Macaca fascicularis: one gene and its partners. The protein of the gene in region 2 purifies or fractionates together with the protein of the main gene of each other region. This does not show direct contact. Links are inferred from orthologs where the notes say so. Each region holds a gene or a part of one and is shown on either strand. Other genes may lie near its edges. The genes, in order: SMARCAL1, RPA3, PRPF19, TOP3A, RFWD3, ZUP1 and RFC1.

Region 1 (3,500 bases), on a different chromosome or scaffold from region 2:
GTACCTAAGTTTTGGTCTGTATTTTCAATTGGTAGTTGGGATAGATTCCCAGAAGTTGAATCATTATTCTTAGAGCTCTTGCTATAATTGCCAAATTGTTTTCTAGAAGGTTTTATTCCCAACTAGCAATATGGTTGTCTAATTGTTTCTCATCAATTTTGATAAGTAATTTTGACAAGTTTGATAAGTAAAAAAGTCCCTTATTTTTCTGATTATTTGTGAAGGTGAACATTTCTTCAAATGTTTGTTAGTCTTCTTCCTCCTTTTTTGAATTGGCTACATCTCTATCCTCTTCTTTTGTGGTCTTAGTACTTTTTTAAAGCATAAGCTCTTTTTATATTTCTTTACTCAGGGTTTTTGCCTTTCACTTCAGTGTGTGTCTGTTGACAGCTTAGTGTTATACAGTTGAATTTGTTAATTATAAAAATGCATCTGTAGTAGATGAAATAATGTTTAGAACTGTGCGTTTGTGACCTGGTGATCCTGGTCCTCACTCCTTTCTTCTCTGAGCAGTAGACAGAGTAGCGACCTAGGAGTGGGCTTAACTGGGTGATTTGTGGTGTGCTGACCTCAGTGGCTTCTCCAACACAGTGCCAGAAATTATCTAATAAGTTTATTCATCCTGGTAAGCTTCCTCTTTCCCTTGTTAATTTCTGAATTTTAAATTTTTTGATTTGAAAAATGTAGGGAGGCCAGGTATGGTGCCTCACGCCTGTAATACCAGCACTTCAGGAGGCTCAGGCGGGTAGATGGCTTGAGCTTAGGGGTTTGATACCAGCCTGGGCAACATAGCGAAACCCTGTCTCGACAAAAAATACGAAAGTTAACCCCATGTGGTGGTGCACACCTGTGGTCCCAGCTACTGGGGAGTCTGAGGTGGAGGATGGTTTGAGCCAGGGAGTTTGAGGCTGTAGTAAGCCCTGATCATGGCACTGCACTCCAGCCTGGGTGACAGAGCAAGACCCTGTCTCAAAAAAAAAAAAAAGAAAAACTTAAGGAGATGGAAAGTTACATTCAACAAATATTGAAATTCCCAAAGCCCCAACTAGAAAACACTTTCAAGCCTTCCTAATCTAACAGTGCCTTTTCTTGCCTTCCTGCCAAACCTAGTGCCTCTTGAACATGTCCCTTCCCCACTTTCTCCCTCTTCCCTTGCCTGTGTTTCAAAGCCACATCATAGCCCTCTGCTTTATCACTTCTGTTCGATTCTTCTTCTTTGGCAGTGAAAGCAGCCCAGAGCCTCCCCACGGTCAACCTGCAGCCTCTGGAATGGGCCTATGGCAGCAGCGAGTCACCCTCCACCAGCAGTGAGGGACAGGCCGGCCTTCCATCAGCTCCGTCGCTTTCCTTTGTCAAAGGGCGATGCATGCTCATATCCAGGGCCTACTTCGAGGCAGACATCGGATATTCACAGGACCTGATTGCACTTTTTAAACAGATGGATTCCAGAAGATACGGCAAGTAATTGGTCTTTGTCTGATTCCCTGAATGTGTAGTATGGTCTGTGATCTCAACATAGGGTGTTTTTCTCTACCTTGAATATTCAAAATTTACTTTCTTGGGAAAGCCTTCCCGTTCTGCTCCTCTTCCTATAGAAAGATGACACGTTAATTATTCCAGATAGTAAACATACAGTGGCGGCTGTTTTGTCATTAAGGCCTTCCAAAGAGAAGACCCCATAATTTCCCCCTGGTCAATGCCTTCTTGGTGGAAGCAGGTAAATTCCTGCTTCAGCCATTTAAAACCCATCTGTTTTTATTTTGGCCTTTGCAGAGCAAAAAAACAGGTGGTTGCCATAAAAATAAATGCTTTTCCATATGCAAACTTCGTGGTTTTCAAACTTGAGCCTGCAGGGAACCGCCTGCAGGGGATGTTAAAACGCAGATCGCTGGGCCCCACTACCGGAGTTTCTGATTCTGGAACTTGAGCGTGGAGCCAAAAATTTGCGTTTCTCACAAGTTCTCTGAGCTGGTGCTGCTGCTGGTGATGGTGCCATAGTTTGAAAATGCTGATAGTTCTCCTCTCGGCCTGCCCGTCAGCATCACGGGGCCACTTTAGAAACACCGATGCCTAGTTCTTATCCAGATAAGTTGATTTATTTTGTCTGAGGTGGGGCTTGGACATTGCTGTTTTGTTTGTTTGTTTCATTTTTTTTTTTAATCTTCAGATGAGCCTAATTATAAGCCAGTCTTGAAATCTACTGGCCAAGGCAGAATAGTTTTGCTGTATTTTATTTATTTTTGAGACAGAGTTTCACTCGGTTGCCCAGGCTGGAGTGCAGTGGCACAATCCTGGCTCATTGCAACCTCTGCCTCCTCGGTTCAAGTGATTTTCCTGCCTCAGCCTCCTGAGTAGCAGGGACTACAGGCACCCGCCACCACACTGGGCTAATTTTTTATTTTTAGTAGAGGCGGAGTTTCACCATGTTGGCCAGGCTGATCTCGAACTTCTCCGCCCGCCTTGGCCTCCCAAAGTGCTGGGATTAATTACAGGCGTGAGCCACCACGCCTGGTCGTTTTGCTTTATCTTTTTGTGAGGTTCTTCAAAAGCTGCCCCATCAGAATAGAGGAGAAGCAGCTATAGATTCTGGACTCCTGGGTGTCATTCTTAGCTTGGGCCACATTGTTTTTTAAAAACGATATAGTTTTTATGGATCGGTGTTTCCCCATTCTTGAATTGGTTTAATCTTGTTCTTAATCAGGTAGAACTTAAATACTTAAAACCTCATGCCTTTGAGACCTCACATTCAAGCATCGTCCTGGAAGAAGCCTCTAGAATTGCTTGCTCAACAAGAGTTTTCATCAGGATTTTGGTTCCTTCCGGGGGAGGCTGATGCTGGTTGCTACGTCATCATCCTTAGGTGGATGGAGTTTGGACTGATGAGGGCAGGCTGGTGAGCAGGGCATAGGGGAGTTGTGCGAGGCCCAGACGGGTCGTGAAATGAGCTGCTCCACAACAGCCTAGATCCTTTGCCTTTCCTGCCCCCTTGGATGTCTGGCTTCTGCTTGGGGTGGCCCGTAAAAGGCAAATACAGGCCGGGTGCAATGGCCTGTAATCCCAGCAGTTTGGGAGGCCGAGGTGGGTGGATCACCTGAGGTCACAGGAGTTTGAGACCAGCCTGGCCAACATGATGGAAACCTGTCTACTAAAAATACAAAAACTAACCAGGCATGGTGGTTCCAGCCTGTAATCCCAGCTACTTGGGAGGCTGAGGCAGGAGAATCACTTGAGTCTGGGATGCAGAGGTTGCAGTGAACCAAGATCGCACCACTGCACTCCAGCCTGGGCTACAATCTCAATAAAAGATAAAAAAGGCAAATACAGTGATGTGTGTCTGTCACCGGCCTGTGAGATCACACTCCTGACATGGTCTGCATTCTGGGAGTGGGTACCATGAAAGTATTGATACTGATACTGCTCACACCCGGATGTCCAAAAACCATGATTGGTTCCTTTGCCTCAGCTGTTGCTCACAACGTTTCCTGATTGCTGCTGTGCCA
Region 2 (4,210 bases):
ACTAAGGGAGACTATCATTTAATTATCGTACATGAGATTCCAATCTTAAATTGCCACGTCAAGTCTCAAATCGGATCTTTTTTGCTTAAGGGAATTTGAACGATGACAATTCTGTAGCTTTGGGCAAATTCACACTCAGTTTCCACAAAGTTATAATACCCAATTAAAACTTCTGTCCCATTTGCACAGTACCGTTTGAAGGTATTTTTATGCGTATTCACTCTAGAATATTCCTGGCAAGGCCGCCGGCTTCGGGTCTCAAGATGAGCCAGGGACAGATTGGAGACTACCCCCAATCTCCCAGGAATCGGTTATCTTCCAGACCTCCAGATCGCCCTCCAGAGTAGAAAGACTGCTGAGGGGGTTTAAACTGTTGAGTCAAACATACCGCCAAAAGTTAGGGTCAACCGGTACCTTGCAAATCATTCCGCCTAACCCTTCGTTTTGCGGATGGGGAAAATACGCCTCAGAAGGGGGAACCCTAGCTCGGGGAACACTAACTCGGGGTCTAACAACGATTTAAGCTTGTCTCCTCTGGTAGTGGCCAGTAGTCCTTCTCCGTTACCCATCCTTAATTGCTTCTATTGGCTGCCAACGCGGAGGAGGTAGCGGGGTGAGAGAACCGGCACCTCCGCAGTGTGGCCAGGTTGGGCTAAAAAACGTCTTAGAAGTAATCGAGTCACTCTCTCTTCTTACAGGTGGAGAAACTGGAGAAAGTAGAGTGACGCAGCGAAAGGAGTAAATCGACCCTCAGCCAACAAGTGGCAAAAGCCTGAAGAAAGTGATCAAGATCACTGATGACCCCTCTCCCCATCTCCAAGGGGGCTGGTATCAAAACCCCGACGCCACACCACATATTATTCAGCAAAACTCCCGCGCCTCCCACGCAGAACCGGCAAGAGGGAAGGCGAGGCAACAGTAACAGCTGGTACGCAGCACCCACAGCACCGCGGCAGCAGCTGGTACCGAAATCCCGCCTAGCTCTTTTGACTCTGTCCGCGGGAAGAATGGGGAAATAGTAAGGCTGCGGCGCCTCCCGCGAGAAGAGGTACCTGAGGCTCGCGCCGCAGTCCGCCGCCGCACCGGCACCGGAGCTCCACACCCCACTTCCGGGGTCAAGTCACCGCCGAGAATCCAGTGATCGCAGAAGGGTAGCCTCAAGTTCCGCCCCTATCCAAGCCCCGCCTCCACTGCCTCTCGCCCTGTGTCAGGCAACTTCCAGGACGCCGTGCGTCACTAAGCAGCCAATCTCCACTTCCGGACGCATCCCGCCCCTTCTCCACCCCTTTCAGTGACAGCGCGATTGCGATTTAGTTTTCCGCGCATTTAATTGGCGAAGCTGGAGCGCTAGTCTTCGCTGATTGGTGCCGGGAAATCTGCCCCATAGACACCCGCGGGGCGCACAGTTTCAGTAGTTCGTGGGTTTCCCGCCAGCTGCAGTCTTGGACCATAATCATGGTGGACATGATGGAGTTACCGAGGTCGCGCATCAACGTCGGCATGCTAGCTCAGTTCATCGACAAGCCTGTCTGCTTCGTAGGGAGGCTGGAAAAGGTATGCGGGTTCGCAGTCATGGGCTCCCCTGTCCGTAGCTGGAGGGAGGGACCCCATGACCGCCTGGGTGGCGGATTCTAAGTGGATAACGGCGGATGAAAAAGGACGGAAAGCCTCAGATCACTGCGCTCCCGAATCCTTTATTTTGCAAAAGGAGACTTCTTGGAAATTCTTTAGCCGTTGTAGCCCCATTTTGGTGCCTCTTTTATGACACGGAAACAAGGTGTTTTCAGATGCTCTGCGTTCTAAATTCCAGTGCCCGTCGCCTCCGTTCTGGCCGTGCTTACGTAGGGGAAATTATAAACACGACTCCCACATCTAGCTTCAGATTTCTTAGTTTACTCAGACGTCACGGACGCCGACAAAACTAATCTGCTGGATTCCTTCTCTTCTGAAATTACTTCTTTTTGCAAACCTCGTTTCCTCGTAATCGCTTCTCTGTAAAACATGCCTTGATTGTCCGCTTTGGGTCCCGTAGTAGTGAGTTATCTAACCCCACTATTAAAGTGAAGTTCCCTCATTCTACAGGCGAGAAACAGGCCCAAAGTCTTGGAATCAGTGACCTGAAAAGCTGAGGAAAAGAAAACTATTATATAAAGACTTATTTAGTAGCTCATTTCATCCACACATCCTTTTCCTTAAATGAGTGTTGCTTTGACTTCCCAAGTAGGGAAACTGAGTATGAGTGGTAGGTGGTTGACTAAAATGCTCAGAAACTCAGCAAGTGGCAAAGGTGGCATTCAAACGCGATCTGACAGCGCTCTTTACAGCTGCTTCCCAGGAGTAGACACAGATATTCTAGCAACCAGTTCTCCTTTTACTTCATCATGCCTGATTTTTAAAACATACCCTCCATGGGATATGTGCTGTCTAAATCATGAGTGCCAGCAGCTTTCACTTTTCGATAGGGTGGGCTTCCTTTGATTTGTTATTAGAATAGGGTTGCCATATTTAGCAAATACAGAACCTACTTATACACTACCAAAAAAAAATCCTTGTTTATCTGAGATTCAAAATTAACTGTGTTCCATGAAGACATTTGGTAACATAAGATTATAATTTGAACTAATAAGTTGAATAAACTGAATGAATAGAACGAATAAACTGTTCAAAAAACAGTTGATTTGTGCTCAATTAAGGATCAATGTACTCATCGTTTGTCAAACTTTTTTGTTGTTTCAGTGAGATTTTAATCTTATGTTTCGTTTTTAGATTCATCCCACTGGAAAAATGTTTATTCTTTCAGATGGAGAAGGAAAAAATGGAACCATCGAGTTGATGGAACCCGTATGTTTAAATATTAATAAGTCTCATATATATTATAGTTAATTCTTCATATGGATTTGGTTTGTTGCCAATGTGTCTAATTTTTTGGAATGAATTTAAAAAGGATGAGCTGGTAAAACGTCCCTGGCTCAAAAATTAAATTCTTGTACTATTCTCTCATTATATTTCCTTTTACATTTTTAACCAATGATTTTTTGGGCTTCATGATTTTTGAAAATATCCCATAAATGCTGGATAACAATTCTCATTCCTTATGAAAGACCATAAAATCACATAAGAAAAATTTAAATTGTTTTTTTCTTCCTCAAGAGGTTTTTTGTTTTGTTTTTGTTTTTTGTTTTGAGACAGGGTCTCACTCTGTTGCCCTGGGTGGAATGCAGTGCCACCGTCGTGGCTCACTGCAGCCTTAGCCTCCCGAGATCAAGTTGCTCCCATCTCAGCCTCCCCAGTAGCTGAGACTACAGGCATGCTCAACCATGCCTGGCTAATTTTTGTTTTGTTTTGTTTTTTGTAGAGATGGAGTCTTCCTATGTTGCTCAGGCTGGTCTTGAACTCTTGGTCTCAGGCAATCCTCCTGCCTCGACCTGTCCCTCAAAGTTTTAAATTTTATTTTATTTTCTATTTTTGTTCATATATTTCAGTTTTTACTTATTTATTTTTGCATTTTATGTTTAAAATACTTAAAACTTGTTTTGGCATTTTGTGAAGACAAATCCATATGCTGTTTGGTTAATGTGTACAGAACACATTGTGAAATACAGATTATAGAAGATTCCTCTCATAGGAAATTACTGCTTATAGAAATGCTGGACATTTTCAATAGCGATTTCGGCTTTAACTTGAATTGTAGCTTTGTACTTGAAGCTGCTAGTAAATGTAACAGGAATGTTAACATGCTGACAGTTAAGTACTCAAACATTTGTTAACAAGTTACATTTTAACTTTTGCATTGGTAATTTTTAAAATTACTTTGTTACTTGAAGTGAAAGATTAGTAACCTGTATAACAGTTTTCCAAATTAATTGTCAACTGAAAATGTGGTAACACCAAATTGACGTCTTGTTCTGTGCCTTAGCTTGATGAAGAAATCTCTGGAATTATGGAAGTGGTTGGAAAAGTAACCACCAAGGCCACCATCTTGTGTACATCTTATGTCCAGTTTAAAGAAGATAACCATCCTTTTGGTAAATAAAGCATTCTAGTATTGACTGGTTTTATGTAATTAGCAGGAAAACTTTTTATTTTTAATTTGATATATATTGGGCTAAAGAATTAGTACTGCTATATTTTCAATTTCTATAGAATTTTGTGATCCTAAAGGAAAATGGGGGTACATTTTGTTTTGACCTGCTTCTAAGTAGTGCTTATA
Region 3 (4,007 bases), on a different chromosome or scaffold from region 2:
AGAGGCTGGTTGTTGATGGGGTCGGTACCATTCTCTGCAATGTACTTCTCAATGAGCCGCCGCTCATAAACATGATTAGAGACAGGGGACACACATGGGTGCTCCGGCACTTCATTAGAGACTGTAGAGAAAAGGCCGGCAGTGAGCTTGGAGTGAAGGCAATCTTGAGCCTAGAGGATTCCTCATCTGCTATTAGCCCCAACAAGACTAGGCATCCTCACAATCAACTAGCAAAAAGCAAGACATCTGACCCTAAGCCAGTTCTGTACTGGCCCCAGAACGCTTTCCAGCTGTGGAACTAGCTTTTCCTTTAGTCTCCTGACAATCAGATAGTCAACAAATAATTATTAACAACTACTATGTGCCAAGCACCTAGAGAACAGCAGTCCATTATCGCCACCTAATATCTGAACAATGATTGTGTACTCTATGAATACAGTTTACTCCATGACATGGAGACACACATGAAGCCATTCAAATCCCTTCCATCCATCTTAGTCTATAGCTCCAGAGGGATTATCAAAGAAATCATAAAGTCTGAGAATATAGGAATAACAAACTCAGTTTCTCCCATTCTCTCACAAAACAAAATACTTCTGTGACAGATGTGACCATCCGGGTGTCCTCCAATTCAATTCTGACACCAGGTACCTGGAGATAGTGTCAGATCACACGGGTTGAGGTCTCAGTCCCACCAGACTCCCCCACCCCTTCAGATGCCAATCGCAAGCTCCAGGTTGTTTGACCTGTTCTTCTGATCTACCAGCTGTAAATCAGGGTTCCCATGACCCCCTTTTTGGGTTCAATTAATTTTCAACAGTGACTCACAGAATTGTGGGAAACACTTATGTTGACCAGTTTATTATAAAGGATATTACAAAGGGTATAGATGAAGAGGTGCATAGGATGAGGTATGGGAGAAGGAGTACAGAGTTTCCCATGCCCTCCCTGGGCACCCCACCCTCCAGGAACGCCCACATGTTCTGCTATACAGAAGCTCTTTGAATCCTGCCCTTTTGTATTTTTATGAAAACTTCATTACAAAGGCATGATTCAATAAATCACTGGTCACTAGTGACAACTTCAGCCCCTCTCGTTCCCCAGGTAAGTGGGAGGTAGGACTGAAAATCCCAACTTTCTAATACCCTTTAGTCTTTCTAGGTGACCAGTCCCCATCCTGAAGCTATTGACGTCTGCCAGCTACCAGTCAACTGATTAGGATACAGGCAGACACTTATCACCTGGAAGATTCCAAGGAGCAAAGTGGCAATCATTACAATAAAAATATTTACATGGCACATGTCTATGTGCCAAGCACAATTCTAGGCATACAGTACAGTAATTCATGTTCACAACAACCCGCAATAGAGGTATCATTTACACTCTTGCCTGCATAGACTGTGCGCCCCTTGAGGATAAGGATTACAGCTGGTCTCTCACTTCCAGTACAATGCAGATGCCCCCAGGGCACTCGGTAAACATCTAACGAATGAGTGAACCCTGCCAGGAAAGATAGTGCTGGGGAACGTAAAAGAGAGCTTTCCCAAGACTGGAAGGAAACAATGAATGTGAAGGTACTTTGCGAGCTGTAATTTCTTCAATGTGAGAGATTCCTTTTCCATCATTTCCCTTCCTTCTTCCCCCTCTCTGGATCAACGTACAGGTTCTGAGAAGAGACGGAGGTGAATAGCAAAAGGGAGGGGAAACGAGTAATCTGATGAAACAACGAAAAGGGAAAGGAAAACGTATGTACGTCATGATAAAATATCAAAGGGAAAGATAGTGGAAGGTATGGAAAAAGCAAGGATTCAGGCTCCAAACTCCGTGTCACCTAACTACGTCACCCAGCTCTGCCATTGACTAGCTACGCATTCTTAGATAAGCCCCGCTCTTCCTGAGCCTTGCCTCCTCATTTGCAACACCAGGATCTTTTCTCCTTTAGGGAATTCTTGTGAGGATAAAATGAGATCCTAGACTTGGAAGCGCGTTGTAAACCAATAAGGGCTTTATAAATGTGCGCTGTTTTTAATTAGTCATACACTGTAAGGCTGGGAGCCATATACCTAGCTGCCAGCCTTGCCTACCTCTAACTCATCATGTGACCTTTACAAATTGCAAAAGCTGCGACTATCCGAGCAAGGCCTCACAAAATATCCAGTGCAATGCTCTCAATTTTGCAGATGGGGAAACCGAGGCACAGAGCCTTAAGCCAATTCACAAAGCCAACAGGAGGCGGACCCTGGACAAGACCTCGGGTTTCCTGACTCTTACATCAAGGCTGTTTCCCCTGCACCAGCTCCCTCTGTCCAGGCCTGTTTCCACTCGGTAGAATGAGGCGACCTGCCTCAGTAATGCCTGCGACAATAAACCTCCGGCACTATGTAAACTGCGGAGCACTGCGCAAATGCACCCCGCTCCGAGGGGAGGGCTCCGGGGCTGACAGGCCGCCGCTCTGCCTCTGGAGCGCCCCATTCCCGCCTCCACCCCGGCCCCGGCCCCGGCGCCGCAGTGGCCCGCACACGCTCCCGCGCCGCTCTCCGGCCTCCTGCGACCCGCGCTCGGCCGCAGGCAACACTCACTGGAGCAGATTAGGGACATGGCGCCGTTGCCGCGCTCCCAGGCGCCACACGCCGGACTCCGGGACTGGCTTCTGAGCCTCCGCGAGCCACTTCCGGTCCCCCGCTGCTGCCGGGACTGCTCAGCTGCGAGCTGGGAGCCGCCAGTCGAGCGATGCTCGCGTAGCGCTTCACGTGGGAATGGGGACAGCCGCGCGCCACTGCCTCCAGCACCTAACGGAAATGGACCTTTCCCAGAATGCAGCCGGGCAGGAAAGGGCCCGCCACGAACACTCGGTTATTTCCGGATTGACTCGGCTCGTTCCGTAAAGCGCCCGGGGATTGGCGGGGGCGTCGGAAGAGAGGAGACTCGAAACTACATTTCCCATGATGCAGTGAGAACTTAAAACCAAAGCAATTGGACAGCACTTGTTTTGACAACTGTGCGGCACTGTGTCACGGGACCCTGGTCTTTGAAACCTTGGTGTGCGCGAGAATTTCCCAATTTCCCATTGTTAAAATGCAGATTCCTCGGATCTGCGTAGACAGACTGCCCCCCACGCTATTCTAAGTCAGGTGTTTCTCGGGCCACCCTTTAAGAGACACTGCTGGATGGCCTGGTGTTAAAAATACAGAGGCAGATGGGTACAGGAACTAAGAAAACGGCTAAGACAGCGTTTTGGTCCTGACTACTACCGTTTCGCTCTGTGATTTGGGGCAATTCACATTGGCTTCCCTGCCCTTTCTTCTTTGTCAAAAGACAAAATCACAACAAATTTAGTTTAAAGTTTTTTGTTTGTTTGTTTTGTTTTGTTTTTGTTTTTGTTTTTAAGAGACGGACTCTGGCAATGTTGCCCAGGCTGGAACGCAGTGGCTATTCACAGGTGCAATCGTAGCAATCATGGCTATCACAGGTGCATCCTGGAACTCCTGGGCTCAAGTGATCCTTCTGCCTCAGCCTCCAGAGTAGCTCTGGGACTTAGGGTGCAATTCTATAAAATTGGGCAGCGCCTTACACTATAAAATCTAATGGTTGTTCCAATGAGCTGAACAGGGGAGCTTGGTTTTTTAGACAGAAAAGGACTGAGGAAAACAGAAACAACAAAAATGGGATTGGTCATTTGGTAATCTCAAAATTACTTTTCTTGTAAAGGTTAAAGTGGAGGGTACTTCTTTATCATGCCATGTAAAACTTGCCTGTTTGGGAATTTAGCTCTCCCTGCCAACACACATGCACACACACACTCTCTCTCAGAAGGTCATAAAGATCTTAGTTTCAGCTCATTGGGGTGGAACTTCAGCAGGACTCTTTTTAGCTTGGTCTGTTAGGCCTAGCGCAAGAGCTCAGTCCAAACCAGTGGCCTCTTATCAATTTATTTTGTATTTTCTGTTTCTCTTCCAGCTCAGATAGTGTATGATTCTTTGTGGATATCTGTAAGATAAGATACTCTC
Region 4 (3,500 bases), on a different chromosome or scaffold from region 2:
GTGAGGGTTGCAGTGAGCCGAGATCATGCCACTGCACTCCAGCTTGGGCAACAGAGTGAGACTGTCTCAAAAAAAAAAAAAAAATTAATGATTTATTTCTAGCAAATGCATTGCATACTACCGTAAATACTGTGTTTTTTAGGGTAATAAAATACTTATTTTCCAAAGCAAAATAACAATGACATGAATGACATTGTTTTACATTTTGCAATTTGTATGTCTGGCTTAATAGAAGAGAGCTAGATTCCCCTATCTGCTTCTGCAGTCAGTCTGCTGAGTCATTGCATGTGCTGGCACCTCTGGGAGACTCCATTTTATACACATGGAAGAATAAGAGCAAAATAGACATAACGTCTTAGAATTTCTTTTTCTTTTTTTTTTTTTTTGAGACAGAGTCTTGCTGTGTCGCCAGGCTGGAGTGCAGTGGCGCAATCTCGGCTCACTGCAACCTCTGACTCCCAGGTTCCAGAGGTTCTCCTGCCTCAGCCTCCTGAGTAGCTGGGACTACAGGCACGTGCCACCACGCCCAGCTAATTATTGTATTTTTAGTAGAGATGGGGTTTCACCATATTGGTCAGGATGGTCTCAATCTCTTGACCTCGTGATCCACCTGCCTCGGCCTCCCAAAGTGCTGGGATTATAGGCATGAGCCACCATGCCCGGCCTTAGAATTATTATAAAAATCTTTGTGTGGGTGACAGAGTCTTCACTGTGTCACCCAGGCTGGAGTGTCGTGGCACAATTTCAGCTCACTGCAACCTCCACTGCCCAGGTTGAAGCGATCCTCCTGTCTCAGCCTCTCAAGTAGCTGGGACTACAGACACATGCCAGCATGCCCAGCTAATTTTTTTAGTATTTTTAGTAGAGACAGGGTTTCACCATGGTGGTCAGGCTGGTCTCGAACTCCTGACCTCAAATGATCCACCCGCCTCTGCCTCCCAAAGTGCTGGGATTACAGGCATGAGCCACCACGCCCGGCCTATAAAATAGTTTTGCATTCTCCTTGGAAGGGCTTAGGCACCCTGGAACCACACTTGGAGAACTGCTGATATAGAGACATGGAACTTCTCAGAGGTGTTTTTATTTTAGTGAATTACTGGGATCTTAGATGTCATCTGCACTGCTTCCCACTGTCCACTCCTGTGATGACTGGCAAGGGCTTGTAGTGGGCTGACAGAGGGCCTCACAGGGGACTTGCGTGGGCTTCCTGATGCATAAGGAATGGTGGAGAGAGGCCTAGGGCTAAAGCAGCCCTCAGTGGACTAAGGAGAAGCTGGCACCTGGTTGTTAATGTTTTTTCCCATCTTCTGGCCTCACTAGGTTGAAGTTAAAGTTTAAGCGCGGTAGCCTTCCCCCGACCATGCCTCTGGAGTTTGTTTGCTGCATCGGTGGATGCGACGAGACCCTGAGGGAGATCCTGGACCTGAGATTTTCACGGGGCCCCCCCAGGGCTATCCAGCCCTCTGGTCACCTGCAGGCTAGCCAGTCTCTGAACAGGATGGACAATAGCCAGCACCCCCAGCCTGCTGACAGCAGACAGACTGGGCCCTCAAAGGCTCTGGCCCAGACCCTCCCACCACCCACGGCTGCTGGTGAAAGCAATTCTGTGACCTGCAACTGTGGCCAGGAGGCTGTGCTGCTTACTGTCCGTAAGGAGGGCCCCAACCAGGGCCGGCAATTCTTTAAGTGTAACGGGGGTAGCTGCAACTTCTTCCTGTGGGCAGACAGCCCCAATCAGGGAGCAGGAGGGCCTCCCGCCTCGGCATATAGACCCCTAGGCGGCTCCCTGGGACGCCCACCAGGCCCAGGGATCCACCTGGGTGGGTTTGGCAATCCTGGTGATGGCAGTGGTACTGGTACATCCTGCCTGTGCAGCCAGCCCGCCGTCACACGGACTGTACAGAAGGATGGGCCCAACAAGGGGCGCCAGTTCCACACGTGTGCCAAGCCGAGAGAGCAGCAGTGTGGCTTCTTCCAGTGGGTCGATGAGAACACCGCTCCAGGTGAGGCAGGGAGGGGCATGGGAATCCCTGCCTTGGGTTTTCAGGTATCTACCTCAGAGAAGACTGGGGACAGCAGAAAGAAGGCAAGGCAGGGTCATGGTGGGATTGGGAAGGGCACCTGGGCTGCCTTGCACCTCTGTTTCCTCACTTGATCACTTTCAGCAAGGTGATGATTGTACAGTCCTCATTCTAGATTAAAGGGTAGCTACCAGTAATGGTGTCATTTGCCCTATGCCTGGCACTGTGCTAAGTATACTTCCTATGCATCTTCCATCCTCATCGGGTAAGCATTATGATCACAATTTTACTTACAAGTGAGAAAGGTGAGACCCAGACACATGAAGTGGGCGTTGCTCAGGGTCCCATAGCAACAGACACCAGAATGAGGACATAGGCCTTCCCAAATGGCCTTGTGCCCTTGCAGCTGTTGTGACCCTTGGCAGACCATAAGCATCAGCCTCATTTCTTTTTTTTTTTTTGAGACTGAGTTTTGCTCTTGTTGCCCAGGCTGGAGTGCAGTGGTGCGATCTTGGCTCACTGCAACTTCCACCTCCCGGGTTCAAGTGATTCTCCTGCCTCAGCCTCCCACGTAGCTGGGATTACAGGCATGCACCACCACGCACAGCTAATTTTGTATTTTTAGTAGAGACATGGGTTTCACCATGTTGGTCAGGCTGGTCTCGAACTCCTGACCTCAGGTTATCTGCCTGCCTTGGCCTCCCAAAGTGCTGGGATTACAGGCGTGAGCCACCATGCCCGGCCCAGCCTCATTTCTTCAGATAGACACCAACCCCAATGATATTTAGGAACCTGCCCAGGGTGACACAGCTTAGGCCAATGTCCGGGAACTGGGTGTCATGAGAAGTGGCACCTAGACATTGCATCAAGTTGAGTGGTGTAGGTGGAGGCATTTTGAATGGTTCCTCCTGCTCCAGTGCACAGCAGAGCTTAATTAAGTAGCTGAGAATGACCCAAAGGCCTAGTGGGAGCTTTGGAGTTGGGTGAATCTGGTTCCAAAGCTCAGCAGTATAACCTTGAACAAATGACTTAGCCTCTCTGCCTCAAGTTTGCTCAACAAGATGGCCCCTGCCTACATTCATAGGATTCCTGTTTTAGAAAGGAGTTTAGTCTCAGACTATGATTCTTATACATGTGTCACCAGCCCGGCATGCACAGGAAGAACCCAGAGGCTTGGTAAAAACTGTGGGACTTGGAACTGGCTACTAGTGCCAGTGGGGCCCAGAGATGGCCATTGCAGTGAGAGGCCCACATTTGAAGTGAGATGCAGTCTGGCCTCTTGTCTCCCCACTTGGAAGGACATGGTATCTGACCCCCAGACTGGCTGGCTGACTGTCCTGGGTAAATGGGCAGCTGGTCTGGAAAGGCCCATTGAGGGACAGGAAGGGGTCGCAGGTTGCTGGTCACAGGCTGCTTGTCTTTCCCACCCCACCACACAGATCAGCTTGCTTGGGTTTCTGCCTCTGTAAAAAGCTCAGC
Region 5 (3,500 bases), on a different chromosome or scaffold from region 2:
TAGTGTTGTCTAGGGAAGCAGAGAGTAGCAAGCCTCTGGAGTAACTGCTAAAAGCCAGTCCACGGATCTGTTTGCCATGCATCGGAATGTACTGACTGCTTCTCATGTTGGCAGTACTCAACATCTTAACACCAAAGCCTGCCAAAGGCAAAATAGTATGAAACAGATCACTGAAAGTGAACCTAGGGCAATGCAAACTACTTTTTCAAGTAGCTTCTTTGTCCACCTTTCTTCGCATATAAGTCCCTGGGAACCAGCTGGTCAAACGACAATTCTCCAGTGTTATAATTTATTCATTTATTTTTGAGACAGGGTCTCACTCTGTCGCCCAGCCTAAAAAGCAGTGCATAATCTTGGCTCACTACAACCTCTGCCTCCTGGGTTCAAGCAATTCTCCTGCCTCAGCCTCTCGAGCAGCTGGGATTACAGGCACGCGCCACCACGCCCGGCTAACTTTGTATTTTTTGGTAGACATGGGGTTTCACTGTATTGGCCAGGCTGGTTTCGAACTCTTGGCCTCAAGTGATCTGCTCGACTTAGCCTCCCGAAGTGCTGGGATTACAGGCATGAGCCACTGCGCCCGGCCTATGATTTATTTAAAAAAGTACAACCCAGGCCGGGCGTGGTGTCTCACCTCTGTAATCCCAAACCTTTGGGAGGCCAAGGCAGGTGGATTACCTGAGGTCAGGAATTCAAGACAAGCCTGGTCAACACAGTGAAACCCTGTCTCTACTAAAAATACAAAAAATTAGCCAGGCGTGGTGGCAAGTTCCTGTAATCTCAGCTACTCGGGAGGTTGAGGCAGGAGAGTCGCTTGAACCTGGGAGGTGGAGGTTGCAGTGAGTCGAGATTGCACCCTACACTCCAGCCTGGGTAACCAGAGCAAAACTTGTCAGAGAAGGGAAGAGGAAGAGGAAGAGGAAGAGGAAGAGGAAGAGGAAGAGGAAGAGAGAAGAGAGGAGAGAGGAGAGGGGAGAGGGGAGAGAGAAGAGAGAAGAGAAAAGAGAGTACAACCCACGCTTGCCTCATGACAATGAAAAGAAGGAAAAAAAAAAAAAAGAAAAAGAAAAAGTATAACCCATTTCAAACGTCCAGGTAAATGGATAAACAAACCTACTGTATACAGGTATGATGGAATACTATCCATTAAAAAGGAATTAACTACTAACATATACTACAATAAAAAATCATGCAGTGAGAAAGAAGTCAGACCAAAAAATGGTTAACACTGTATGATTCCAATTATGTAAAATTCTAGAAAATACAAACTCATCTGTAGTGACAAAAAGCAGTGACTGCCGGGGATGGGAGAGGAGGGAGGGGCAGGTGAGATTATAAAAAGCCATAGGGAAACTTTTGGGGTAATACATATGTTCATGGCCAAGCATGGTAGCTTATGCCTGGAATCCCAGCACTTTGGGAGGCTGAGGTGGATGGCTCGCTTGAGCTCATGAGTTCGAGACCAGCCTGGGAAATATGGTGAAATCCTGTCGCTACAAAAAATATGAGAATTAGCTGGGCATAGTGGGGCGAGCCTGTACTCCCAGTTACTCGAGAGGCTGAGGTGGAAGGATGACTTGAGCCCAGGAGGTGGAGGTTGTAATGAGCTGAGATCACACCCCTCCCTGCATTCCAGCCTGGGAGATATAACTTGATCTTGTGTCAAAAAAAAAGTAGTTATCTTGATTGTAGTGATGGTTTCAGGGGTGTATTACATATGTGAAAAGTAATCAAACTGTATACTTTAAATATGTACAGTTTACTGTCAATTATACTTCAATAAAGCTGTTGAGAGAGAATATTTCACTAGAACCACACTCTAGATGCAGAAGGAACAGTGAACAATAGAGAATGAAAATAAATAATATGTCAGTCAAGATATGTCACATCTGTCTGAAATGAGACCGATGACAATTCAAGTACCCACATTCCCGAAAGGGGTAAAAATAACCAACAAAAACCAATAACCTTTGAAAACTATTTGTTACTCTGTTCTCTTACTAGGCTATAACATTTATTTTTAACTAAGTTATATATATAAACAGGGTCTCACTCTATCACCAATGCTAAGGTACAGTGGCACCATCACGGCTCACAGCAGCCTTGATCTCCTAGGCTCAAGTGATCCTCCCAACTCAGCCTCCCAAGTAGCTGGGACCAGAGAGGTGTGCCACCACACCAACCTAGTTAAAAAAAAATTTTTTTTTTATAGCGATGGAGTCTCACTATGTTGCCCAGACTGGTCTCATACTCCTGGGCCCAAACGATCCTCTCGCCTTGGCCTCCCAAGGTGCTGGGATTATAGGCATGAGCCACTGTGCCCAGTTGAGTTAAATTCTTTAAAAATGCATCAAATCCTAGATTCAAGACAGCTTCAGCTTCTCCAGGGAACCAAGTACGTGGCTTATTGCACTTTCTTCCAGCAGAATTAGGACAGCCAGAGAGGGGGCAAAAAAAAAGCAAGGGGTGGGGGTGGGTGCAGGTGCAGGTATAGGCTTTAAATCAACAAGGTCGCTGGGCATGGTGACTCATGCCTATAATCCCAGTACTTTGAGAGCCCAAGATGGGTGGATCACCTGAGGTCAGGAGTTTGAGACCAGCCTGACCAAAATGTTAAAACCCTCAAATACAAAAATTAACTAGGCATGGTGGCATGCACCTGTAGTCTCAGCTACTCAGGAGGCTGAGGCAGGAGAATCTCTTGAACCCAGGAGGCAGAGGTTCCAGTGAGCTGAGATCACACCACTGAACTCCAGCCTGCGCAACAGAGCGAGACTCCATCTCAAAAAGAAAAGAAAAGGAAAAAAAAAGAAAAAAAAAAAATCAACAAGGTAATAGAAATACACACCCAGTTAATCATTAAGGGGAACAAGGACAAATCAGCACCAGCACACTATCAAGCGGACTGGAATGGACACGTTAAGAAAAAAAGAACAGGGCCGGGTGCGGTGGCTCAAGCCTGTAATCCCAGCACTTTGGGAGGCCGAGACAGGCGGATCACGAGGTCAGGAGATCGAGACCATCCTGGCTAATACGGTGAAACCCCGTCTCTACTAAAAATACAAAAAAAAAAAACTAGCCGGGCGAGGTGGTGGGCGCCTGTGGTCCCAGCTACTCGGGAGGCTGAGGCAGGAGAATGGCGGGAACCTGGGAGGCGGAGCTTGCAGTGAGCTGAGGTCCGGCCACTGCACTCCAACCCGGGCGACAGAGCGAGACTCCGTCTCAAAAAAAAAAAAAGAAAAAAAGAACAGAACACATACCCAATTTGGGGAACATTAGAAAATAGTTATTTTTCCAATTTGTTGGTTCTATTTGATGACAAATCTTTTTATTAAAAACTTAGATGGGATAAAGGACCATTATAAAACCATGTTAAAGCAAAGGGGTCTTCCAGTTGGCAGAAATCTTATGCTAAAGACAGCAGAAAGAAACATCTGCAAGATTTAGAAATGATTTAATTGAGCATTTGAAAAGACTTGGATTTCAACATTTAGAAAACC
Region 6 (3,500 bases), on a different chromosome or scaffold from region 2:
GACCAGTCTGGACAACATGGTGAAACCCCGTCTCTACTAAAAATAAAAATAAATAAATAAATAAATTAGTCAGGTGTGGTGGCACATGCCTGTAATCCCAGCTACTCAGGAGGCAGAAGCACAAGAATCACTTAAGCCTGGGAGGCAGGGGTTGAAGGGAGCCAAGATTGCGCCACTGCACTCCAGTCTGGGTGACAAACTGGAGACAGACTCTGTCTCAAAAAAAAAAAAAAAAAAAAAGAAAAAAGAAAAAGAATTACTTTAAAACTCAAAACATCAAAACATGACAGAGTATATATAATCTGAAAGTGTGAACAGATTGGCAAAAAGAAAAAGGAGGAAAGCAGAAATAAATTTAGAGGGCATTAAAATAGTTCTTTAAATTTAAGTTATTATATATACACACAATATTAGTTTTTCTATATAAACGAAAGAAATATTTTTACCTCTGAATCTAATCAATTAATGTGGTAAAAAGAATGTGATACACTGGTTAAATAACTTAGAAACAAACATAAAAGAAAATATAAAGCCATAAAGCTTAAGGCAAATGTTCCATTAAACATGATCACAGACATCTATCTCTATTTCCTCTTAAAAGCCCGATGACACAATACTGAAGGAGAAAATGATTTAAACATCCAAGGACAAAGAGAATGGGAATAGAGAGGAAAAAAGCTCACATCTTCAGAAAATGAAAAGCAGCACAGAGAACATATCCAAGTAAATAAAAGAAAATGGGCCAGGCACGGTGGCTCAAGCCTGTAATCCCAGCACTTTGGGAGGCCGAGACGGGCGGATCACGAGGTCAGGAGATCGAGACCATCCTGGCTAACACAGTGAAACCCCATCTCTACTAAAAAATACAAAAAACTAGCCGGGTGAGGTGGCGGGCGCCTGTAGTTCCAGCTACCTCGGGAGGCTGAGGCAGGAGAATGGCGTAAATCCGGGAGGCGGAGCTTGCAGTGAGCTGAGATCTGGCCACTGCACCCCAGCCTGGGCGACAGAGCCAGACTCCGTCTCAAAAAAAAAAAAAAGAAAAGAAAATGGAGACTGTATGTTTCAAAATCAGAGAGAGGCTGAAAGCTTAGAAGCACAAGGTTTGAGAACAGTGAGGCTAAAAATATGAGATTAATTGAAAGTTTGCTTCGAAGGCAAATCACACCTTAACTCTCCCCTCCACTAATGCAGGAACTCTAGGGAGGAAAGTGAAAAACTCTTCTCTGGATAACTTCTGGGAAAAGATCTCTCTATATAATGATCTTTGAGAGTACCCCAATCAAATAGTAACCTTCCACCTAAGACTTTTAAATGAAATCTGCTAATCTGCAAGCTCTATGCAGTCCTTTTTAATGTTTCATTAAATCAGCTTTTTAATGTTTCATTCTTCACTCTCTGAATGGACAACTAAGGATTTCCAAAAGTTAAAAGAAAGCTTTCAAAATAGAAAAGACTAAAGTAACAGACATGAAAATAAATTAATATGGAACAAACAAAATGCAGGCAATAGAAAGAAAACATTGGAAGAAATTTTGCAACCATAAAGAAAATGATGCTGTGAAATTACCCCTTAACATAATGGTGAAAATAAAAATTTCAATACAGTAATTGGGAGATAAATTTGAGTAAATCTAGAAAATAAAACAAAAGGCAAAGATTTTAAAGAAAAAGACATGATAAACTTAGAAGGTAAAGAAGTTCAGGCCGGGAGCGGTGGCTGAAGCCTGTAATCCTAGCACTTTGGGAGGCCGAGGCGGATGGATCACCTGAGGTCAGGAGTTCAAGACCAGTCTGGCCAACATGGTGAAACCTCGTCTCCACTAAAAATACAAAAATTAGCCAGGCATGGTGGCAGGAACCTGTAATCCCAGCTACTCAGGAGGCTGAGGCAGGAGAATCACTTGAACCCAGGAGGCGGAGGTTGCAGTGAGCCAAGATCGCGCCACTGCACTCTAGCCTGGGCAACACAGCAAAAACTCCGTCTCAAATAAATTTAAAAAAAAAGAGAAGTTCAGTGGCCATCTATCAACGGTTCCACAAAGAAAATGGAGGGATTATAACTATCAAACAACAATAGTTAACCTCTGAAGTCACGCTGTGTGCCAGTCACAGTTCTAAGCACTTTATTATTCCATTTAATTGTCTAACTACTATTAATACCTTCTTTTATCAATGGTAGACCTAGGTACAGATGAGCTCATTCATTCAGCTATTAAGTAGGAAAGGTATGAATCAAGGTTAGGCAGTCTCACTCCAAAGTTCAAGCTCTTACCTACTATCCTAGATGGAACTAAGATCTTAGACAACTCACAATTCCAGATTCAAAGAGAAAAACAAATGCCTAACACAATGAATCAAAGCCCTACACCCCACAATGAAATTTCATAATATCATGAAATTACGACGGGCTAAGAGAAGACTGGAAAAACTTCCATAGAAAATAAATAGGTTATACATTTTAAAAATGAGAATCTGATCACATCTTACCATCCTCAATAGTAATATTCATCGCTAGACATCAGAAGAATAGAAACTTAATTTGATGTGAAAATGATTGTAGAATTAAGAATAATATAGCCATCCAAACTATCATTTAAGTAATAATGACTAGGCACCCTTTCTCAGGAAACTAATGAAGGAAGTGCTCGAGCAAAAGGAAGTAACCTAAAAAAGAGACATGAAATCCAAGACAAATCCAGGTCCTAACACACACACACACACACACACACACACACACACACACACAGAGTGAACAAATGCTACATGATAATAGCTGTAGATCTAGAAGGCAAAAAGTCCAGATTGGAGCAAAGAGGACAGAAGGCTCCAAGAAGGATGTGTCCAAGAATAAGGAGAGCCTCAGATTACATGACAGGTGGGGTGCAAAAACTTGAGGCCATGATGTCGTCACATATTATAGTAAAAGAGAAAAGGAAACACAATTATTAACTCAAGAAAGAATTATAAATGATTTTAGAAAACAAAATCAGCAATAAGCAATATTTATGCAATTGTGTAATAAAATCTGACTTTATAAAATGATGTAAACTCTGATTTTAATAAAAACTGAGGTTTAATCATATTAGAAGGATTGAAGGTAAACAAGTATAAGATATTAAAACAGACAATACTTAAAACTCATAAACGAAGAAACAGCTATGAAAGCATACTATTTAAAAACAATGGAAGTGACAGTTGCCTCTGAGAGACAGGACTTGAGGGTAGAGGACAGCACAAGATAGTGAATAGGTTACTGATTTTCAATACTACTTAATTCAGTGCTACTTAATTTTATTTTTAAACTATCTCTTTGATAAAAAATAAAATTTTAAAAAACAAAGCTCCCAGATAAGGAAATAACATTTATTTAGGTTTTAAGGTACATACTTTACCCTTAGGGAGGTCAGGAGTATATATACTTCACATGCTCCAATCCAGGCCTTTGTTCCCTGTAACCTGTTATTAAGTTGAGAGGCCCCCTGAGGATCAAAACCTTCCTT
Region 7 (3,500 bases), on a different chromosome or scaffold from region 2:
ATTAACTTTTAATTAGGAAACTTTGAAACAAAAATCTCAACACTATACCTTGTTTTTTCCAAACTAAAATTGGAGTACTTATTACTTCTAAAATCCAACATGTTCTCACTTTTAGAAATTGCGTTTGGTGGTTTCTGGTGTGTTTGTTAATTTTTATAGTTTAGAAGGTGGTGACTTCCACAAACAGGAAAGTCTGTCATGACAAGACCATCCCAGGCTGAATAGCCCACCTGGATATCTCTGATTGCTCTCTGTAGTACGTTTAGCAGGATAGAAATTCTGTATGTTTCATCAGGTTTCTTCTTTCCTCACTTTTCTGCTCTTTAAGATGAAGAAAGAGTCCAAACTGGAGAGAACACCCCAAAAAAATGTTCAAGGCAAAAGAAAAATTAGTCCATCTAAAAAGGAATCGGAATCTAAAAAGAGCAAGCCGACTTCCAAAAGGGACAGTTTGGCAAAGACAATAAAAAAGGAAACAGATGTGTTTTGGAGAGGCCTGGATTTCAAGGAGCAGGTGGCCGAGGAAACAAGTGGTGACAGCAAGGCTAGGAATTTGGCTGATGACAGCAGTGAAAACAAAGTGGAAAATTTGCTCTGGGTGGATAAATATAAGCCAACCTCACTCAAGACCATAATTGGACAGCAAGGTGACCAGAGCTGTGCCAACAAACTCCTACGCTGGCTCCGAAACTGGCACAAGAGTTCTTCTGAAGATAAAAAACACGGTGATTTTACAGCCTCACTCATTTTTGTGTGTGTGTATATCAACATGTGATTGCTCAGTGGCACATATATAAGAAAATCTAACGGTTCATTCATCTGTCAGCAAGCATTTACTAAGAGCTTGATCTGAACCCAGGTGCAGTACTAGACCCTGCTGGTGGTGTTGTGAACAAAACAGTCCCTCTCAGGAGTTCACAGGCAGTGGGGGAGGCTTATCTGAACCAGCAATTAAAATGTATTGTGCCAAGTACTGCTAGAGGGGTAAGTCCAGGGTGCTGTGAGGATGAAGATGTGTGGTCAGGGCCTGGGTGTGTGTCCTCCCGTCCTGGAGGAAGGGATGGCTAAGCTAAGACTTGGAAACAAAGTAGGAGGTAGCTAGGCGAAGGGAGGGAGGGGTGAGTGTTGGGTAGGAAAGAGTATGTGTCCCAAGGTCTGAAGCCATGTGACAGTAAGACCCCTGAGTGGCAAGGGCACTAGGAGGAAAGGTGTGAATAAATAACGGAGGCATGCGTGCAGGGCAGTCAGCCTCAACTCCCGGTAGCAAGCACGATTTGCTCTGGCAGGCCTGATAGGCCTGTGCTTCTGTAGTTTCTGTCCTTGTTTGTGATGTATTTATTGGGGAGAGTGAAAAGCTCCAGTATGTATTTAATGTCCACAGTATTTCTTAACGGAGGTTTGAGATCACAAATGTTTTAGTAGTGTTGTCAACATAGACCAGTGATGACTAGATGCCGATCACCGTTGCTGATGATGCCTGTTTATTTAAACAGATAATATATTGTAATGGTATAGGACTCAATTTAAGTTAAATCATTTTTTCATTCTGAAACTTAATAAAATCTCCCCTAAAAGAGAGACAGGCATTTCATGTGCCCAGAGAAGACTTTTTTTTTTTTTTTTTTTTGAGACGGAGTCTCGCTCTGTCGCCCAGGCTGGAGTGCAGTGGCGCGATCTCGGCTCACTGCAAGGTCCGCCTCCTGGGTTCACGCCATTCTCCTGCCTCAGCCTCCCGAGTAGCTGGGACTACAGGCGCCCACAACCGCGCCCGGCTAATTTTTTGTATTTTTAGTAGAGACAGAGTTTCACCGTGGTCTCGATCTCCTGACCTTGTGATCCGCCCGCCTCGGCCTCCCAAAGTGCTGGGATTACAGGCGTGAGCCACCGCGCCCGGCCGACTTTTTTTTTTTGAGACAGTCTCGCTCTATTGCCCAGGCTGGAGTGCAGTGGCGTGATCTAGGCTCACTGCAACCTCTGCCGCTTGGGTTCAGGAGGCTGAGTACCTGGGGCTACAGGTACACACCACCATGCCCGGCTAATTTTTTGTATTTTTAGTAGAGATGGGGTTTCACCATGCTGGCCAGGCTGGTCTCGAACCCCTGACCATGTGATCCACCCGCCTCTGCCTCCCCAAACGCTGAGATTATAGGCATGAGCCACCGTGCCTGGCCGAGAAGACTGTTTTAAAGCTTCAGGTGAACTGTAGTCCCTGTCTGCATGCCTGCTGGCAGTAGGTTTAAAACCATTGTCTCTGTCAGTTATTGAGTATGAGTTGAGCCTGATGTATGTGCCAGGTGCTCACGTGGTGAGGGGAGGAAGAGTGCTGGTCTAGTGTTGAGGGGCACAAGATAGTTGCAGACACAGCATCTTCAAGTCAGTTTTTTTTCTTGTGACCATGTAGCTACTATGCTTGTTAACATTTAGTGAAGCATGCATGGCTCTGTGCTCAGCCATTCGGTCCTCACAACATCCTTAGTAGCAACTTTACTGTTGTTCTCCTTGTCTAACAAAGGAGGAGGCAGTCACAGGGGCTAAGTTACTTTTAACTCACCGTGGCTGGTGAGAGGTGGCATGAGGATGGATGGAGTCGGGATCGAGCCCCGGCAGCGTGCTCCATGGCCTGTGCATTCACAGGGAAGGAAACTCATACAATTATTATTTCAAATCAAGAGTTTTAAAGTGAGTTAGTTTTAGTTTTTTATTTTGGGTGGAGGTGAGCTAGGAAGTAGAATTTCACTGAATGCTCTGGAAACTTGTTTATGTTTTGTAGAAAATATTCTGCAAATTTAGAACTAAACTGGAGGATGGCTGTCTATGCGAAGTTTAGGCACAACTATCCCTGCCATGCCTGAATTTCTGTTAGGTGATATAGGTTAACACTCTGGAACTTCTTTTTTCCTAGCAGCAAAGTTTGGTAAATTTTCCGGCAAAGATGATGGCTCTAGTTTTAAAGCAGCGTTGCTGTCAGGCCCTCCTGGTGTTGGCAAAACCACCACAGCTTCCCTGGTGTGTCAGGTGGGTACTTTGTCGCAGTGTGGTTGGACAGATAACCTCAAGTGGTCATGGCTAGGAGATAAAAGCGTGTACCCACATGTGTGCCTGTGTGTGTGTGTGTGTGTGGTGTCTATATATAAACTGTGTTTATTTGTCTAAAATAAAACCTTTAGAACCTGTTTTGGTTCTGGTGATGTTTGTAATTTTAATCCTTTTAAAATATTGGTAATTAAAGTACTAGGCAATACTTACCTATGAGCGAGGCAGCGTGCTCAGCACGTGGGTGTGTTATAGATAACAAAAACATGTATTCTAGACTCTGAAAGATGCAAATATCTTAATGCCCTTGAATAATTCTGTGTACTGAATAATTATCTGTACTGTCATCATCCACACGTGTGAAATGAAATAGGCTTAGGGAGGAGGGTGGAGGCCCAGGTTTCACCCATGTAGCACGACTCAGGGTTCTACTCTTCAGCACTGTGTGGTCCTGCCTTTGTTCCTGT

The links.
Region 1: the proteins of RPA3 (region 2) and SMARCAL1 purify together in Homo sapiens (affinity purification with mass spectrometry; 3 studies listed by BioGRID and IntAct, with this or other methods). This does not show direct contact. The link is inferred for Macaca fascicularis from reciprocal best matches to the Homo sapiens genes RPA3 and SMARCAL1.
Region 3: the proteins of RPA3 (region 2) and PRPF19 purify together in Homo sapiens (affinity purification with western blotting; 3 studies listed by BioGRID, with this or other methods). This does not show direct contact. The link is inferred for Macaca fascicularis from reciprocal best matches to the Homo sapiens genes RPA3 and PRPF19.
Region 4: the proteins of RPA3 (region 2) and TOP3A purify together in Homo sapiens (affinity purification with mass spectrometry; 3 studies listed by BioGRID and IntAct, with this or other methods). This does not show direct contact. The link is inferred for Macaca fascicularis from reciprocal best matches to the Homo sapiens genes RPA3 and TOP3A.
Region 5: the proteins of RPA3 (region 2) and RFWD3 purify together in Homo sapiens (affinity purification with mass spectrometry; 5 studies listed by BioGRID and IntAct, with this or other methods). This does not show direct contact. The link is inferred for Macaca fascicularis from reciprocal best matches to the Homo sapiens genes RPA3 and RFWD3.
Region 6: the proteins of RPA3 (region 2) and ZUP1 purify together in Homo sapiens (affinity purification with western blotting; 3 studies listed by BioGRID, with this or other methods). This does not show direct contact. The link is inferred for Macaca fascicularis from reciprocal best matches to the Homo sapiens genes RPA3 and ZUP1.
Region 7: the proteins of RPA3 (region 2) and RFC1 purify together in Homo sapiens (affinity purification with mass spectrometry; 3 studies listed by BioGRID and IntAct, with this or other methods). This does not show direct contact. The link is inferred for Macaca fascicularis from reciprocal best matches to the Homo sapiens genes RPA3 and RFC1.

What each region holds. Positions count from the first base shown.
Region 1 is NC_088386.1:112,310,119-112,313,618, forward strand, and holds part of SMARCAL1 (SWI/SNF-related matrix-associated actin-dependent regulator of chromatin subfamily A-like protein 1), read left to right. Parts: intron 1-1,223; coding exon 1,224-1,457; intron 1,458-3,500. UniProt on the Homo sapiens protein: ATP-dependent annealing helicase that binds selectively to fork DNA relative to ssDNA or dsDNA and catalyzes the rewinding of the stably unwound DNA. Rewinds single-stranded DNA bubbles that are stably bound by replication protein A (RPA).
Region 2 is NC_088377.1:122,832,888-122,837,097, forward strand, and holds the start of RPA3 (replication protein A 14 kDa subunit), read left to right. Parts: upstream 1-1,410; 5' UTR 1,411-1,455; coding exon 1,456-1,554; intron 1,555-2,766; coding exon 2,767-2,841; intron 2,842-3,916; coding exon 3,917-4,025; intron 4,026-4,210. UniProt on the Homo sapiens protein: As part of the heterotrimeric replication protein A complex (RPA/RP-A), binds and stabilizes single-stranded DNA intermediates that form during DNA replication or upon DNA stress.
Region 3 is NC_088388.1:13,367,166-13,371,172, reverse strand, and holds the start of PRPF19 (pre-mRNA-processing factor 19), read right to left. Parts: upstream 2,801-4,007; 5' UTR 2,599-2,800; coding exon 2,580-2,598; intron 1,667-2,579; exon of another isoform or gene 1,390-1,666; intron 122-1,389; coding exon 1-121. UniProt on the Homo sapiens protein: Ubiquitin-protein ligase which is a core component of several complexes mainly involved pre-mRNA splicing and DNA repair. Required for pre-mRNA splicing as component of the spliceosome.
Region 4 is NC_088390.1:18,406,098-18,409,597, reverse strand, and holds part of TOP3A (DNA topoisomerase 3-alpha), read left to right. Parts: intron 1-1,320; coding exon 1,321-2,003; intron 2,004-3,500. UniProt on the Homo sapiens protein: Releases the supercoiling and torsional tension of DNA introduced during the DNA replication and transcription by transiently cleaving and rejoining one strand of the DNA duplex.
Region 5 is NC_088394.1:70,441,914-70,445,413, forward strand, and holds part of RFWD3 (E3 ubiquitin-protein ligase RFWD3), read right to left. Parts: intron 139-3,500; coding exon 1-138. UniProt on the Homo sapiens protein: E3 ubiquitin-protein ligase required for the repair of DNA interstrand cross-links (ICL) in response to DNA damage. Plays a key role in RPA-mediated DNA damage signaling and repair.
Region 6 is NC_088378.1:20,658,688-20,662,187, forward strand, and holds part of ZUP1 (zinc finger-containing ubiquitin peptidase 1), read right to left. Parts: coding exon 3,388-3,500; intron 1-3,387. UniProt on the Homo sapiens protein: Deubiquitinase with endodeubiquitinase activity that specifically interacts with and cleaves 'Lys-63'-linked long polyubiquitin chains. Shows only weak activity against 'Lys-11' and 'Lys-48'-linked chains.
Region 7 is NC_088379.1:38,590,733-38,594,232, reverse strand, and holds part of RFC1 (replication factor C subunit 1), read left to right. Parts: intron 1-328; coding exon 329-725; intron 726-2,902; coding exon 2,903-3,015; intron 3,016-3,500. UniProt on the Homo sapiens protein: Subunit of the replication factor C (RFC) complex which acts during elongation of primed DNA templates by DNA polymerases delta and epsilon, and is necessary for ATP-dependent loading of proliferating cell nuclear antigen (PCNA) onto primed DNA.